Linked DNA regions of Xenopus tropicalis. The protein of the gene in region 1 interacts with the protein of each later gene in a pairwise test. Links are inferred from orthologs where the notes say so. Each region holds a gene or a part of one and is shown in the gene's direction. Other genes may lie near its edges.

Evidence for each region.
Region 2: the proteins of get3 (region 1) and asph interact in binary tests that used the Homo sapiens proteins (3 or more experiments, as listed by UniProt). The two-hybrid records come from large-scale screens. The link is inferred for Xenopus tropicalis from reciprocal best matches to the Homo sapiens genes GET3 and ASPH.

Annotation. Positions count from the first base shown.
Region 1 is NC_030679.2:140,437,020-140,443,946, reverse strand, and holds the end of get3 (ATPase asna1), read left to right. Parts: coding exon 1-39; intron 40-1,574; coding exon 1,575-1,725; intron 1,726-2,136; coding exon 2,137-2,244; intron 2,245-2,485; coding exon 2,486-2,683; intron 2,684-3,345; coding exon 3,346-3,477; 3' UTR 3,478-4,829; downstream 4,830-6,927.
Region 2 is NC_030682.2:117,476,051-117,484,115, reverse strand, and holds the end of asph (aspartyl/asparaginyl beta-hydroxylase), read left to right. Parts: intron 1-376; coding exon 377-421; intron 422-2,896; coding exon 2,897-2,935; intron 2,936-5,737; coding exon 5,738-6,042; 3' UTR 6,043-6,518; downstream 6,519-8,065.

The DNA of each region.
Region 1 (6,927 bases):
AGGAATTGATGAAGCCATGAGCTATGCTGAAGTGATGAGGTGAGAAACGGGAGGGAGCTATGGGACACGGAGTCTGCCCCTCCCACTGCAGGGTGATACAGTGACACAGACAGGAGGGGGCTATGGGACATGGAGTCTGTCCCTCCCACTGCAGGGTGATACAGTGACACAGACAGGAGGGGGCTATGGGACATGGAGTCTGTCCCTCCCACTGCAGGGTGATACAGTGACACAGACAGGAGGGGGCTATGGGACACGGAGTCTGTCCCTCCCACTGCAGGGTGATACAGTGACACAGACAGGAGGGAGCTATGGGACACGGAGTCTGCCCCTCCCACTGCAGGGTGATACAGTGACACAGAGAGGAGGGGGCTATGGGATATGGAGTCTGCCCCTCCCACTGCAGGGTGATACAGTGACACAGACAGGAGGGGGCTATGGGACACGGAGTCTGCCCCTCCCACTGCAGGGTGATACAGTGACACAGACAGGAGGGGGCTATGGGACACGGAGTCTGCCCCTCCCACTCCAGGGTGATACAGTGACACAGACAGGAAGGGGCTATGGGACACGGAGTCTGCCCCTCCCACTGCAGGGTGATACAGTGACACAGACAGGAGGGAGCTATGGGACACGGAGTCTGTCCCTCCCACTGCATGGTGATACAGTGACACAGACAGGAGTGGGCTATGGGACACGGAGTCTGCCCCTCCCACTGCAGGGTGATACAGTGACACAGACAGGAGGGAGCTATGGGACACGGAGTCTGCCCCTCCCACTGCAGGGTGATACAGTGACACAGAGAGGAGGGGGCTATGGGATATGGAGTCTGCCCCTCCCACTGCAGGGTGATACAGTGACACAGACAGGAGGGAGCTATGGGACATGGAGTCTGCCCCTCCCACTGCAGGATGATACAGTGACACAGACAGGAGGGAGCTATGGGACACTGAGTCTGTCCCTCCCACTGCAGGGTGATACAGTGACACAGACAGGAGGGGGCTATGGGACACGGAGTCTGTCCCTCCCACTGCAGGGTGATACAGTGACACAGACAGGAGGGAGCTATGGGACACTGAGTCTGTCCCTCCCACTGCAGGGTGATACAGTGACACAGACAGGAGGGGGCTATGGGACATGGAGTCTGCCCCTCCCACTGCAGGGTGATACAGTGACACAGACAGGAGGGAGCTATGGGACATGGAGTCTGCCCCTCCCACTGCAGGGTGATACAGTGACACAGACAGGAGGGGGCTATGGGACACGGAGTCTGCCCCTCCCACTGCAGGGTGATACAGTGACACAGACAGGAGGGAGCTATGGGACATGGAGTCTGCCCCTCCCACTGCAGGGTGATACAGTGACACAGACAGGAGGGAGCTATGGGACATGGAGTCTGCCCCTCCCACTGCAGGGTGATACAGTGATACAGACAGGAGGGAGCTATGGGACATGGAGTCTGTCCCTCCCACTGCAGGGTGATACAGTGACACAGACAAGAGGGGGCTATGGGACATGGAGGCATTATTGCTAACACATATGTACATATATTTAAGTTGTGACTGTACCCACAGGCTGGTGAAAGGGATGAATTTCTCCGTAGTGGTGTTTGACACGGCTCCCACTGGACACACCCTGCGTCTGCTCAACTTCCCCACCATAGTAGAGCGAGGCCTGGGGCGCCTCATGCAGATCAAGAACCAGATCAGCCCATTTATATCACAGGTGAGATACTGGAAAGGCAGGTAGTGGGGGGTATGTGGGGGGCCATTGTACTAGAGGCATAAAGACCCGACTCATTCATTGCACTGAGAGGAAGGCAGTTTGTTTGGCTCATAATAGAACTGAGCCTAATGTAATAGGGACTTAGAGTGTAAGCTCCACTGGGGCAGGGACTGATGGGAATGATATATGTTCCATGTACAGTGCTATGGAGTATGTTGGTGCTATATAAATAAAGGATACTCTCACACATCTGTTCCATACAGCCATTATACATCCTGTGGCCCTTTAATAAGTAAGAAGAATAATAATGTTGTTTTTTCCCTCCAATATTTAATTCATATATTTTTTTCCCTGGCAAGTTCCTTTTGTCTCTTCGTCTGCCTGACCCCATTCTGTTCCGCTCTCCCATAGATGTGCAACATGCTGGGACTTGGCGATATGAACGCCGACCAGTTGGCCTCCAAGCTAGAGGAGACGCTTCCCGTGATCCGGTCTGTCAGCGAGCAGTTCAAAGATCCGGTGAGCATTCAGAGCTTGCGTTGTTTCTCTATGGAAGATAGAGGGCGCTGTGCCATAGGGTCTTATTGAAAGGGAAAGTCAATGTGAGATTTATTTATAAAAGCCCCATTGATTTCTAGCTGAGGGTTCTGATTTAAAATCATCTAGGGTCCCACTGATTGGCAGATTCTACTTTAGTCTGACCTATACAGCTTTTTAGAATTGTCATGGTAACAATTGGATGATTGTTTCCTGCGCACAGGAGCAGACCACGTTCATCTGCGTGTGTATCGCCGAGTTCCTGTCACTGTACGAGACCGAGCGCTTGATCCAGGAGCTGGCCAAATGCAGCATAGACACTCATAACATTATAGTCAACCAGCTGGTATTTCCCGAGCCAGAGAAACCGTGCAGGATGTGTGAGGCCAGGCACAAGATCCAATCGAAATACCTGGACCAGGTAGGAAATAGAGCTTGTCCCTCCCACTGCAGGGTGATACAGTGACACAGACAGGAGGGAGCTATGGGACACGGAGTTTGCCCCTCCCACTGCAGGGTGATACAGTGACACAGACAGGAGGGGGCTATGGGACATGGAGTCTGTCCCTCCCACTGCAGGGTGATACAGTGACACAGACAGGAGGGGGCTATGGGACACGGAGTCTGTCCCTCCCACTGCAGGGTGATACAGTGACACAGACAGGAGGGGGCTATGGGACACGGAGTCTGTCCCTCCCACTGCAGGGTGATACAGTGACACAGACAGGAGGGAGCTATGGGACACGGAGTTTGCCCCTCCCACTGCAGGGTGATACAGTGACACAGACAGGAGGGGGCTATGGGACACGGAGTCTGTCCCTCCCACTGCAGGGTGATACAGTGACACAGACAGGAGGGAGCTATGGGACATGGAGTCTGCCCCTCCCACTGCAGGGTGATACAGTGACACAGACAGGAGGGGGCTATGGGACACGGAGTCTGCCCCTCCCACTGCAGGGTGATACAGTGACACAGACAGGAGGGGGCTATGGGACACGGAGTCTGTCCTTCCCACTGCAGGGTGACAGACATATGTATGAGACCTACATTGCTGCCTCTCATTATCTGATTGGTTCGTTACAGATGGAGGATCTCTATGAAGATTTCCACATTGCGAAGCTCCCTCTTCTTCCTCACGAGGTTCGAGGGGCAGAAAACGTAAACACCTTCTCAAAGCTCCTGTTGGAACCCTACAAGCCCCCCAGCGGGAAGTAGGCATGGAGAGCGGCACGGGGGGCGATATTTCAGAAACCCTCCAGCTGTTTATAGAGAAGAGTCGGACTGGCTGGATGGCACTACTCACACAGGAGGGGGGCTCCCTGACCAGCACCCACCCATGTAACTCCTAATCACCCCAAGGCTACGTCTATTTATTATAACTGGATTTAGGGGACCTGACCTTTAAGCCTCCCTCTCGTTTGTTTTATTTCTATTGTCTTGGACAGTTGAATGCCTTTGTTTTTCTGGCTGTCTCACTTTATTTCTCTGTGTGTCTGTCAGTCTCTTCCTCTCGTCTGTCAGGCCGTCTGGCAGTCTCTTCCTCTCGTCTGTCAGGCCGTCTGGCAGTCTCTCACCTTGTCTCTCTGTGTGCCTGGCAGTCTCTCACCTTGTCTCTCTGTGTGCCTGGCAGTCTCTCACCTTGTCTCTCTGTGTGCCTGGCAGTCTCTCACCTTGTCTCTCTGTGTGCCTGGCAGTCTCTCACCTTGTCTCTCTGTGTGCCTGGCAGTCTCTCACCTTGTCTCGCTGTGTGCCTGGCAGTCTCTCACCTTGTCTCTCTGTGTGCCTGGCAGTCTCTCACCTTGTCTCTCTGTGTGCCTGGCAGTCTCTCACCTTGTCTCTCTGTGTGCCTGGCAGTCTCTCACCTTGTCTCTCTGTGTGTCTGGCAGTCTCTTCCTCTAGTCTGTCAGGCCGTCTGGCAGTCTCCTTGTCTCTCTGTGTACCTGGCAGTCTCTCCTCATCCCTCTGTGCATCTGGCAGTCTCTCCTCATCCCTCTGTGCATCTGGCATTCTCTCTCTTTGTCTCTGTGTGTCTGGCAGTCTCTTCCTCTAGTCTGTCAGGCCGTCTGGCAGTCTCCTTGTCTCTCTGTGCATCTGGCAGTCTCTCTCCTTGTCTCTGTGTGCCCGGTAGTCATTTTGTCTCTGTGCCTGGCAGTCTCTCACATTGTCTCTCTGTATGCCTGGCAGTCTTTGGGAGTCTCTACCCTTTGCAGAACTAATCCTTTAACTCCCACCATCCCCAGATGCGGCAGTAGGAGGTATTAGTTCAGCAGTCTCTGGGGTGTTCATGGCCCTCTCTCTTTGGGCCTCTTTCAGCCTGGAGCTCCCTTTGTTTCTGGTAATCTTTTTGTCTCTCATGCGTTGTCTAACCCCCCCTTCCCATATTATCTAACCCCCCCCCCCCCCTTAGCCAAGAGAATGGCACGGTCTGTGTAAGTTCTGAGCATGACTGCCCCGCAGACTAGAGCTGACATGTATTGCAGTTGCACACTGTCCTTTCTGCCTACTGCCCCCTACTGGGCGGCGGGGTGCGGGGCAGTTCTTAAATTAAACTCTTTGTAAAACATGTAGTTTGAGTCCGGGTTAATCTCTAGCTCTGCGCCAGTGTCTCTGGATACACGGACGTCATAGACAAACATTGGACGGAACATTCAGGCAGTGAGGGTTGGGGGCCACCATGTTTGGTTGTGGCACTTCTGGGGGCTGATTGCTTGATAGGGGCTGGTCTGTTTCCCCCAAACATGGCAGCCATCAAGCCCATTCGGTAGATCTGCTTTTAGGCAGTTGGGAAATGGGGTAAGGGCAGGACCATATTTATAATAAGGCACCTGAGGGTCTGTGCCTAGGGGGCAGGGCCTATGGGATGTCACGCACACTGGGGCAGCACTAGACCTAAATACACCCCTGGGTAAGGGGCAGGAACGGCTGATGTGGGGGGGGGGGGTTGTTTGTAGAGATTGGTTCCAAGCATATCTGCCCATTTGTGGCTGGAACTTGTACGGCAGGGGTCTATTTGTAACCCTGCCTTCAGCAGACATCATGGAGTCCTATGAATCCTGAATTCCTATTGGCCGCTGAGAGAACCTACCCTACCTATTGATGAGTAACTGAGGAACAAATCGATCAATATTTCTTTGTTACATACAATGGAGCTGGGATTGTAGTGTTCTCAGTCACACTCAAGTGTTGGTGTCAAATGTGAGGCACAGGACTAAGATACAGATACAATATTGGGAGAAGGGAATCCTGCCCTGCAGAGCTTACACTCTAATATACAGAGGGGCACAGATACAATACAGGGAGAGGGAACCATTGGGAGAAGGGAATCCTGCCCTGCAGAGCTTACACTCTAATATACAGAGGGACACAGATACAATACAGGGAGAGGGAACCATTGGGAGAAGGGAATCCTGCCCTGCAGAGCTTACACTCTAATATACAGAGGGACACAGATACAATACAGGGAGAGGAACCATTGGGAGAAGGGAATCCTGCCCTGCAGAGCTTACACTCTAATATACAGAGGGACACAGATACAATACAGGGAGAGGAACCATTGGGAGAAGGGAATCCTGCCCTGCAGAGCTTACACTCTAATATACAGAGGGACACAGATACAATACAGGGAGAGGGAACCATTGGGAGAAGGGAATCCTGCCCTGCAGAGCTTACACTCTAATATACAGAGTGACACAGATACAATACAGGGAGAGGGAACCATTGGGAGAAGGGAATCCTGCCCTGCAGAGCTTACACTCTAATATACAGAGGGGCACAGATACAATACAGGGAGAGGGACCCATTGGGAGAATGGAATCCTGCCCTGCAGAGCTTACACTCTAATATACAGAGGGGCACAGATACAATACAGGGAGAGGGAACCATTGGGAGAAGGGAATCCTGCCCTGCAGAGCTTACACTCTAATATACAGAGGGACACAGATACAATACAGGGAGAGGGAACCATTGGGAGAAGGGAATCCAGCCCTGCAGAGCTTACACTCTAATATACAGAGGGGCACAGATACAATACAGGGAGAGGGAACCATTGGGAGAAGGGAATCCTGCCCTGCAGAGCTTACACTCTAATATACAGAGGGGCACAGATACAATACAGGGAGAGGGAACCATTGGGAGAAGGGAATCCAGCCCTGCAGAGCTTACACTCTAATATACAGAGGGGCACAGATACAATACAGGGAGAGGGAACCATTGGGAGAAGGGAATCCCGCCCTGCAGAGCTTACACTCTAATATACAGAGGGACACAGATACAATACAGGGAGAGGGAACCATTGGGGGAAGGGAATCCTGCCCTGCAGAGCTTACACTCTAATATACAGAGGGACACAGATACAATACAGGGAGAGGGAACCATTGGGAGAAGGGAATCCTGCCCTGCAGAGCTTACACTCTAATATACAGAGGGACACAGATACAATACAGGGAGAGGGAACCATTGGGGGAAGGGAATCCTGCCCTGCAGAGCTTACACTCTAATATACAGAGGGACACAGATACAATACAGGGAGAGGGAACCATTGGGGGAAGGGAATCCTGCCCTGCAGAGCTTACACTCTAATATACAGAGGGACACAGATACAATACAGGGAGACGGAACCATTGGGGGAAGGGAATCCTGCCCTGCAGAGCTTACACTCTAATATAC
Region 2 (8,065 bases), on another chromosome or scaffold:
GAATTTGACTTGCTGTAGTTGATTGACTAGAGCCAATTTCAAAGTGAAATTACATTTGGTAACTATGGGTTACTACTCCATTGTAAACTTTACTCCAGTCACGTGAACTCCCATCTATGTGATATTTTGTACCTTGTCCTCAATTGTATTATCTGCATCCCCTACTAACCCTGTATTTATTCTTCCAGCCACAGGATCAAACTTGTGTCATTACCAGTACCTCAGCTGATTCCTTCATGAGTAATAAATATTTGTGTGTGTGTATATATAAATATAATATATATATATTTTTTTTATTTTGCTCTGTTCTGTTACACTTTTCTTGGCTCTCTGTAATTTTTTTTCTTGTAATCCATTTCCATTTTGTAAACATCAGGAATTTCACCAGGAAAGATAGATAAGAAAGAAACCAAGGCACCAGGTACTTTGCATCGGTTGTGGTTTTCTTAATTGGAGCTTTGTGCATGGTTTTGCTTGACACAATTCTGTCCTGTCTGATTGAAGAAGATTTTTATAGTCTAAAAATTATGTCCTAGAACGGTTTATGAAGATGTGGAAGGGGGTAGCAATATTGAACCCTTAATGCATGTTTATTGTAAGAAGGTTGTTGACTTCAACATAGATTGTTTATATCTAGAAAAAGGGGTTATAACCTAAGAAAGAGTTAATGGATACTAATGATATGCACAACTTAGCTAGTCTAATTGCCTAATCTGCTTGCACATGCAGTAGCATGTAAAAGTTGAAGCAAATGCAGGCATTGTGTGGCAGAAGTTCCTACACAATGTACTATTTCATCATTAGTATGTTAGCTGTTGTTAATTTTACAGCCTTCCTAAAAATTTAACCTATCATACAGTTCCGAGTGGGCTGATTTAAGCATTGTGCTATAGAGGTGCTTATTCATGGGTCCTCTTGGACCCCTTATCGTCCACCCCGGTCAACTTTTCTATAGTTATTAAGAGATTTTACCAGTCCAAAGGTTCAGCAGCTTATATCAGTCTATACCTTCACAATTTTCCAAAACATCTCGACAGATTCTGATATTGTTGGGCCCTTGTTCTTTGTGTGCCAGTGACTCTGCACAGGCTCAGTGTGCTCTGGGCTCTGGTTAAGAGGAACTGTATATAAATATTAGCAGAAAGTAATGTTATATTTCAATTAGGTGATGCTACAAGGCTTATTATTAATTCTGATATAAAGGGCAATGGTCTCTTATGCTGCCACATACTGTGAATCTGGAAAACAATTGTATTGAGCAGAACAGGGAAAAAAAATGTGGGGTACTAAAAGAAGATGAACTTGAGAGTCTTCAGGGAGAAGTAAAAAAGTAAAGTTAAGGAAATAAAATAGAAGGAAAGCTGAGGGACATGTAGGTGAGCTGTGTAGTGGGCTGAGACTGGAAGTGGTGCAGGCTTTGCAGGGACTGGAAAAAAGCAATTGCACCAACTGACTGAGCCCAGCAATCTGTGCCAGAACTGTTATCATTTCATCATTTAAACATTTTTACAAAACTAATACATTGATAGTTAGTCATGTTCACCTGCAGGTATGGGATGTGTTATCTGGAAACTCATTGTCCAGAAAGCTCAGAATTATGAGAAGGCCATCTCCCATAGACTCAATTTTAATCAAATTACTTTTTGATTTTTAAAAATATTTTTTTTTTCTCTGTAATAATAAAACAGGACCTTGATCTTGATTCCAACTAAGATATAATTAATCCTTATTAGATGTAAAACAATCATATTGAGTTTAATGTGTAAATTATTTTTTAGCAGACTTAGGGGCTGATTTACTAAGACACAATTTCGAATCCGAATTGGAAAAATTCCGATTGGAAACGAACATTTTGCGACTTTTTCGTATTTTTTGCGTTTTTTTTTCGGCGTCTTTACGATTTTTGCGTAAAAACGCGAGTTTTTCGGCGTCTTTACGATTTTTGCGTAAAAACGCGAGTTTTTCGTAGCCATTACGAAAGTTGCGCAAAGTCGCAATTTTTTCGTAGCGTTAACACTTGCATGCAAAGTCGCGCCTTTTTTGTAGCGTTAAAACTTAAAAGTTTTAACGCTACGAAAAAATCGCGACTTTGCGCAACTTTCGTAATGGCTACGGAAAACTCGCGTTTTTACGCAAAAATCGTAAAGACGCCGAAAAACTCGCGTTTTTACGCAAAAATCGTAAAGACGCCGAAAAAAAAATCGCAAAATTACCGATCATTACGAAAAAAACGCAATCGGACGCATTCGGCCCGTTCGTGGGTTAGTAAATGTGCCCCTTAATGTATGGAGATCCCTTATCTGGAAAACCACTGTCCCCGTGAATTCTGGATTAAAGGTCCCATACCTGTATATGCAGACATTTATAGCTTATAAAATACACATTTTAAAAGACAATACCTCTGCAGAATACAGTGGTACAGCGCATTTGTTAGTATGTAGATTATGCTGTGGGAGTCATTGACCCTACAATGCACAAAATATCCCCACACATGAATATTAGATATTAAAGTGACAAAGTTCAATATATGTAATTTATAAATAATAGTAAAAGTATAGACGGAATAAAATCTGTTTGTTTTCGTTTTTTTAAATAATGGATCTGGACTCCTACTGCATCTATGCATGTGTGTAAAAGATATAGATCTATATAACTAACCGACAAATAAGAATGATCAAAACATAGTGGCCCTTTAACACCCTGCTGGTTAATACCCCGTTTCTTTGCTGGTCAAGCACAGTTACAGTTTACCTAGTGCCTGTGACCACCATTGCACAATTGTCATTTGAGAGTAGCATGTATTTTATCCCCAGTTTGTTATTAATGGAATAAATTTACTTAAGCTTGTATTTTTGTGGTTTGTGTTTGAAATATATGTTTATTCTGTAAACAAAAGGAGAAGAGCCAGGAGGATTAGCCAAAACAAAGACAAAAGGTATTTTGCACAGTGATTTCTTTGTGTTGTATGATTTTGTGTGAGTTTTACAGTATAGCGTGTGTGCTCTTACTGACTTAGAATGCACTCTACAGATCATACAGATCATTGATGTTATTAACATTATTTAGTTTTTATTTGCTTGTCCTTCCTTTTCCAAATCACCAGGGTTAGAATCTTTTAGCCTGAAATCACCATGATTTTAGTGGCATACACTCCCATGGATGTGAGGCTTTTGTTTTTTTTCAGTTTGCTGGGGACATTAATTTATACCTGCCCTCCATGCAATTTGGTTTTATCTTTAACACTGTAGAAATCAGTAAACAATAATATAATCTTGCACAGACTAAAACTCAAAGTAAATGGACAGCTTACAAAAATCTACTGAAATGAAATGGAATTTGGTGTTATGCTGGCCATATATTGTAACATACGCTCGTATGGCGAGGTTGCGAAAGGAGCAAATAATTCTCCGGTATGCTCATCATAAGGTAGGCTTATGCCCAAACAAGCAGATCATAACAATGGGTATTCAGGCCATCAGGGCATGGGCTACATCCACGAGCCGATGCGGTCCTCACTCCAATTGGATTTCTGTTAGGTTGTACAACATGCTGACTCAAACGGAAGAGGCTGAATCAGAAGCTTAAATCTGCCTGTGTATGGCCTCCTTTTAGACTAATTACCCAGATCATGTGGCATGTGTGCTATTAAATTAAGAGTAGGTTTTATTTGAATACGTAATTGAATATGCAGTAAGGGGCAAACTTGCACAGCAGTGTTTTATTCATAAACCCTTGCAATAGTGCACGAAGGGGGAGATTTATTAAGACACGAATGCTCGGAGCGTATTTTCGGCAACTTTTCCGTACGCTTGCGTGAAAAATTCAGAAAGGTTCTGCCGCTGTTTACAATTGTTTGGTACGAAAATGTTGTGACTTTCGGATCGCCAATACGATATTATCGTGACTAATACGATTTTTTCGTAAGCATTTTCATGATATTTGCGATCTTCAGAAATTATCGTATTTAATCCGAATTTTTCCCATTCGGGATTCGAACTCGTGTTTTAATGAATCGGCCCCTAAGTCTTGTGAGTCAAACTGTTACATTTGTTCTTTATTTGACTGTGTTCAGAGTTTGGCTAATGAAATATTTAAGCAAGCAAATTAGATGTCCCTAAACTCAAGGGACTGGAACTGTGACCTGGAAATGTAATTGGGTGTAGTAAATATTAATGCAGAGAGAGTCTGCAAGCTTACAGTGCTGATTCCAATTAGAATCCAATTAAAATGGTGAGAAGTGTTAGGAGCCATAGAGTAGATCGGTCTATTTGGACATCACCTATTTATCGATGACAGAAGAGGAGGTCCGGAGATATTATAGACTTTTTTACTTTGAGTCTAGTCAAGTTAGGTTTTTTTTTATTTATAAAGCACCAACATATTTTTCACTGATGTAGTAATTATCAGGTGTATCAAGAGTAATATTACAGAGTAGAAGAATAAACCTGTAAAATTAGTCTGGTCTCTGTAGTCCTTTGTAGTGATGAAAGCTTGTGGTCTTTCCCCCCCCCCCCCCAATGAACATACAAGTATAAAGATGAGCACTCAAATGCCCACACTTTTTCAGTCATACATTTGTGACCTAATGAAAGTATTGCATGTGTATCTGTGCCTGTCTCCAAGAAGCTATGACATTATTTTATTTAATTATTTTCACATTTATTAGAGCTTGGAGTAAAGCATGACTTTTGCACTGCATTGTGGCAGAAGAATGTAAAATTTAAATAATTATCAATAGATAAATTTGCCAAAAAAATGAGTGTGCTGTTATACTAACAGTGAGAAGCAAAATGCATTGCTAGTATGGCATGTTTAAAAGGCAAATCATTTTCATAACACATACACAGCAACAGTGTTATGAGCTATTGAGCTGATGCTAACCTTGCCTGGACTTACACTTGCCTTATTTCCACTTCTAGTTACAGCTATTAATATGTATTTATGATAGGTTGCTATAGTTTTGTCAAGTTGGATTCATGTACAGTCATTTTTTACCAAAAAATACAGTGACCTAACATTAAAGGGTAACTCTGGCTTCCGAACCAAAATTTGTGAAAGAGACCCACACAACACAGAAACCCCTAATATACCTATCACTGTAATCTGTTAAAGTATGAATAAATAACATTTTGCTATGCTGGAATCTAGCTGCAAAACAGTTCTTCTCTTTCTGCATCATTTGAAATCCAAGCAGGGGAGACAGGACTAAAACATTGATGTTACAATTATAACAACAACTCTACAGCTTACAGACAGCAGAATAGTTTGCATCTCAAAGTAGTCAGCCAGATCAGCAGGAGAACAGGGGGCTAGGCTTAGGCAACTGTTCCAAACCATATTGTTACATTTAAAAATCATGTAACTGCTGCATATTTTTTATTGATGTATATTGCAAAGTTGCTTAAAATTATATTTTCAAAAAGCTTAAGTTATGTTTGGGTGGTGTTCCCCTTTAATGTAACATTACTTTTTTTAAAGTCTACAGGATGCAGGTTTTTTACATTGCCTTTTGTATTTGGGGGAAACTAAAACAGGCTTTTTATGGCTTTATGTTTGTGGTACCCAGTTGTGTTTGTCACACAGGCTTTATATAGTTATTTGTTTTAAAATTTTGATTGGATATTATCAGGTAAACTACAGTGTTTCTGTGACTAATACAGACCTTGGGTTTCTTTATTGTTCTTAGTTGCTGATTTAACTAATACTCCTTTCTATTTTAAACATACAAAATATCAAGTTAAAGAGGAAATTAAAGAGCAACTTAAAAAGGTGAAAGAAAAAATTGTAGTTCAGAAAAAAGAGCCAAAGGTTGCAGAGAGGAAAAAGCCGGTGAAAGAGACAAGTGACAAGGCCAGAAAACCACAAGAGGGGGGCAGACCCAAAAAAGAGCAGGAAAGGGATGAACCACGCCAGAAGAAAGATGAAAAACATAAGGAACCCGTGAAAAGGACCACGAGTGGGAAAGCAACTGAACGGGAGAGGGGGAAAAGGCCAGAGAAGAAAGAAAACAAAGATTCAAAGAAAGATGACAAAAGGAAATGAAGCTGCTGTACTAACCCCAGCAGGACGTACTGTAATGTTTCCAGCAGCTTCTCACACAATCTCTGCACGTGTGTGTGGAAATGCACTTTACCATTTGCCGAGAAGCTGCTTCGTTATAACACTAATTGCACTGACTGCTTGAGTAGGCCAAGAAATGCAAAACAATGTTATAAGGGTCTCCTTTAGACATGTACATAATCTACTATACTGTGCTGCAAATCGTGTGCATCTTTATGCCAAAGGATTTAAATGCAGGCTTCTAGATCAAAGCTTTGTTTAGCCAACAAAGCATGTGCAAAGCCAACAAAGGATGTGCAGCTTACCCTTGCTAGGGTTCTGCTTTCATTGCAAGAGAGACAGATTAGTTGTATGTGCATTAGACTAAGTAGTGATCGCGCAAACTGTGATGCTTTCTTAGTTAAACAATCCTGTAACTAGAACACATGCTTCAGTTTCAGAATAAACAGTCATTGAAATGTTGTGCTTGGTTTCTTGAATGAAATTTGTCACAAGCTTGCTTATCTTCCAAATCTGAGTTTTGGTCTTTCAGTTTCATGTTGCATCCTAAAGAACATTTTATTAACAGAAATATAAAAAACACATAGACGTATTGCTACTCATATTGGGGAGAATACCCTAAAATTGGTACGGGAATGAGAGGATGGCCAGAAAACTTGCGGATTACCGAAACCATCTTCGTTTTAACCTACGATGTTGGACCGAGAGGACCGATGGTTTGAAAGAGGCCATTTATGCCAGCCTGGAAAAACCATCCCTGAACAGAGGAGGGGGCCTGCGACACTGCTTGTTATCTTTCTGGTGTTTTCTGTTCAAATTCAGAGGGTATGACACATTTTTAGTAGTGCAAACATACTAGATAGTTTTGGTGTTTTTTCCCACTATGTGGTAGCACTAAAGATATTGTTTGGCATTTTTTTTTTTTATGGCAAAATTTCTGGTTTTATACAACATGATAGTATTTTGTATGTTTGTCACATAATTTAACATAACTTCATATGTAATAAAAGGCACAGAGTTTGCCCAAGTGTAGGAATCCCTAGCAACTAATAGTAAATTTTCTTTTAAACAGATGACCAGTAAATACGAACTATTTCTTTGCTAAGGGTAACAAGGTTTGTAGCAAGCTTAACAGATTTTATCACATTTTGAAGAACAAGCTTCAGGCTTTTGTTTTAATGATCTGCTGTTGAAGACGTGACCACAGTTCTCATCCGAGCTCATCTCTGTGTATTTGCTTGAAAGTAGATGTTATTGATGATATTGGTTGAATATAATAGTTACAACACATGGTTAATATGAATTGATGCTTTGATGACATGAGCAAACAATGGCATTATTTTAATTGTAGGATTAAGGTAAACATATGGGGCATAATAAGCAAAGTGACAAGTAGCAGTAGTTTTTTTTTTTTTTTTTTTTTGCGTTGTATGCAAAATTCCTTCTATTCATTTCACTAAATAACATATTGTCACTATGCTGGTTATCAAACAATGAATTGTGGATGCTTATTAAAGTCCTATAACTGGCATACACAGGGTTGAAAGAAAGGTCTGTTTTGGTGCCACCTGCTGAAGACTCTGAAGATGACCATCCAGCAACACAAGCTACAGCTGAACCAGGTAAGCGGTTTCAGAAAGATCCAATAAGAAGGCCATTGATGCAAAGGCGTCCTATATTTTCCTCTCATAATCTCTATACAACGTGGTAGATAAAGGAAATAAAATAGAGGGATAGGAGTGCATATCCACAGAGTATCAGACATAGTACATCAAGTAATCTGTTTGGCTCACAGCTATAAGGCTTGCATATCAGCCTATAGTTTTAAGCTTAAAAATACACTCACCTGTGCATTCCTGTCTCCAGTGGCCACTGAAGAGAAGTAGAGACACTCTGCACATCCAGAACTTTTTTACCTTTTACCCTAGCTTGGCTCGCCTTTTCTTTAAAGGAGAGCCACTTGACTACCTTTTCCTAGCTCTATGGTGGCGGTTGGCAACTAGGA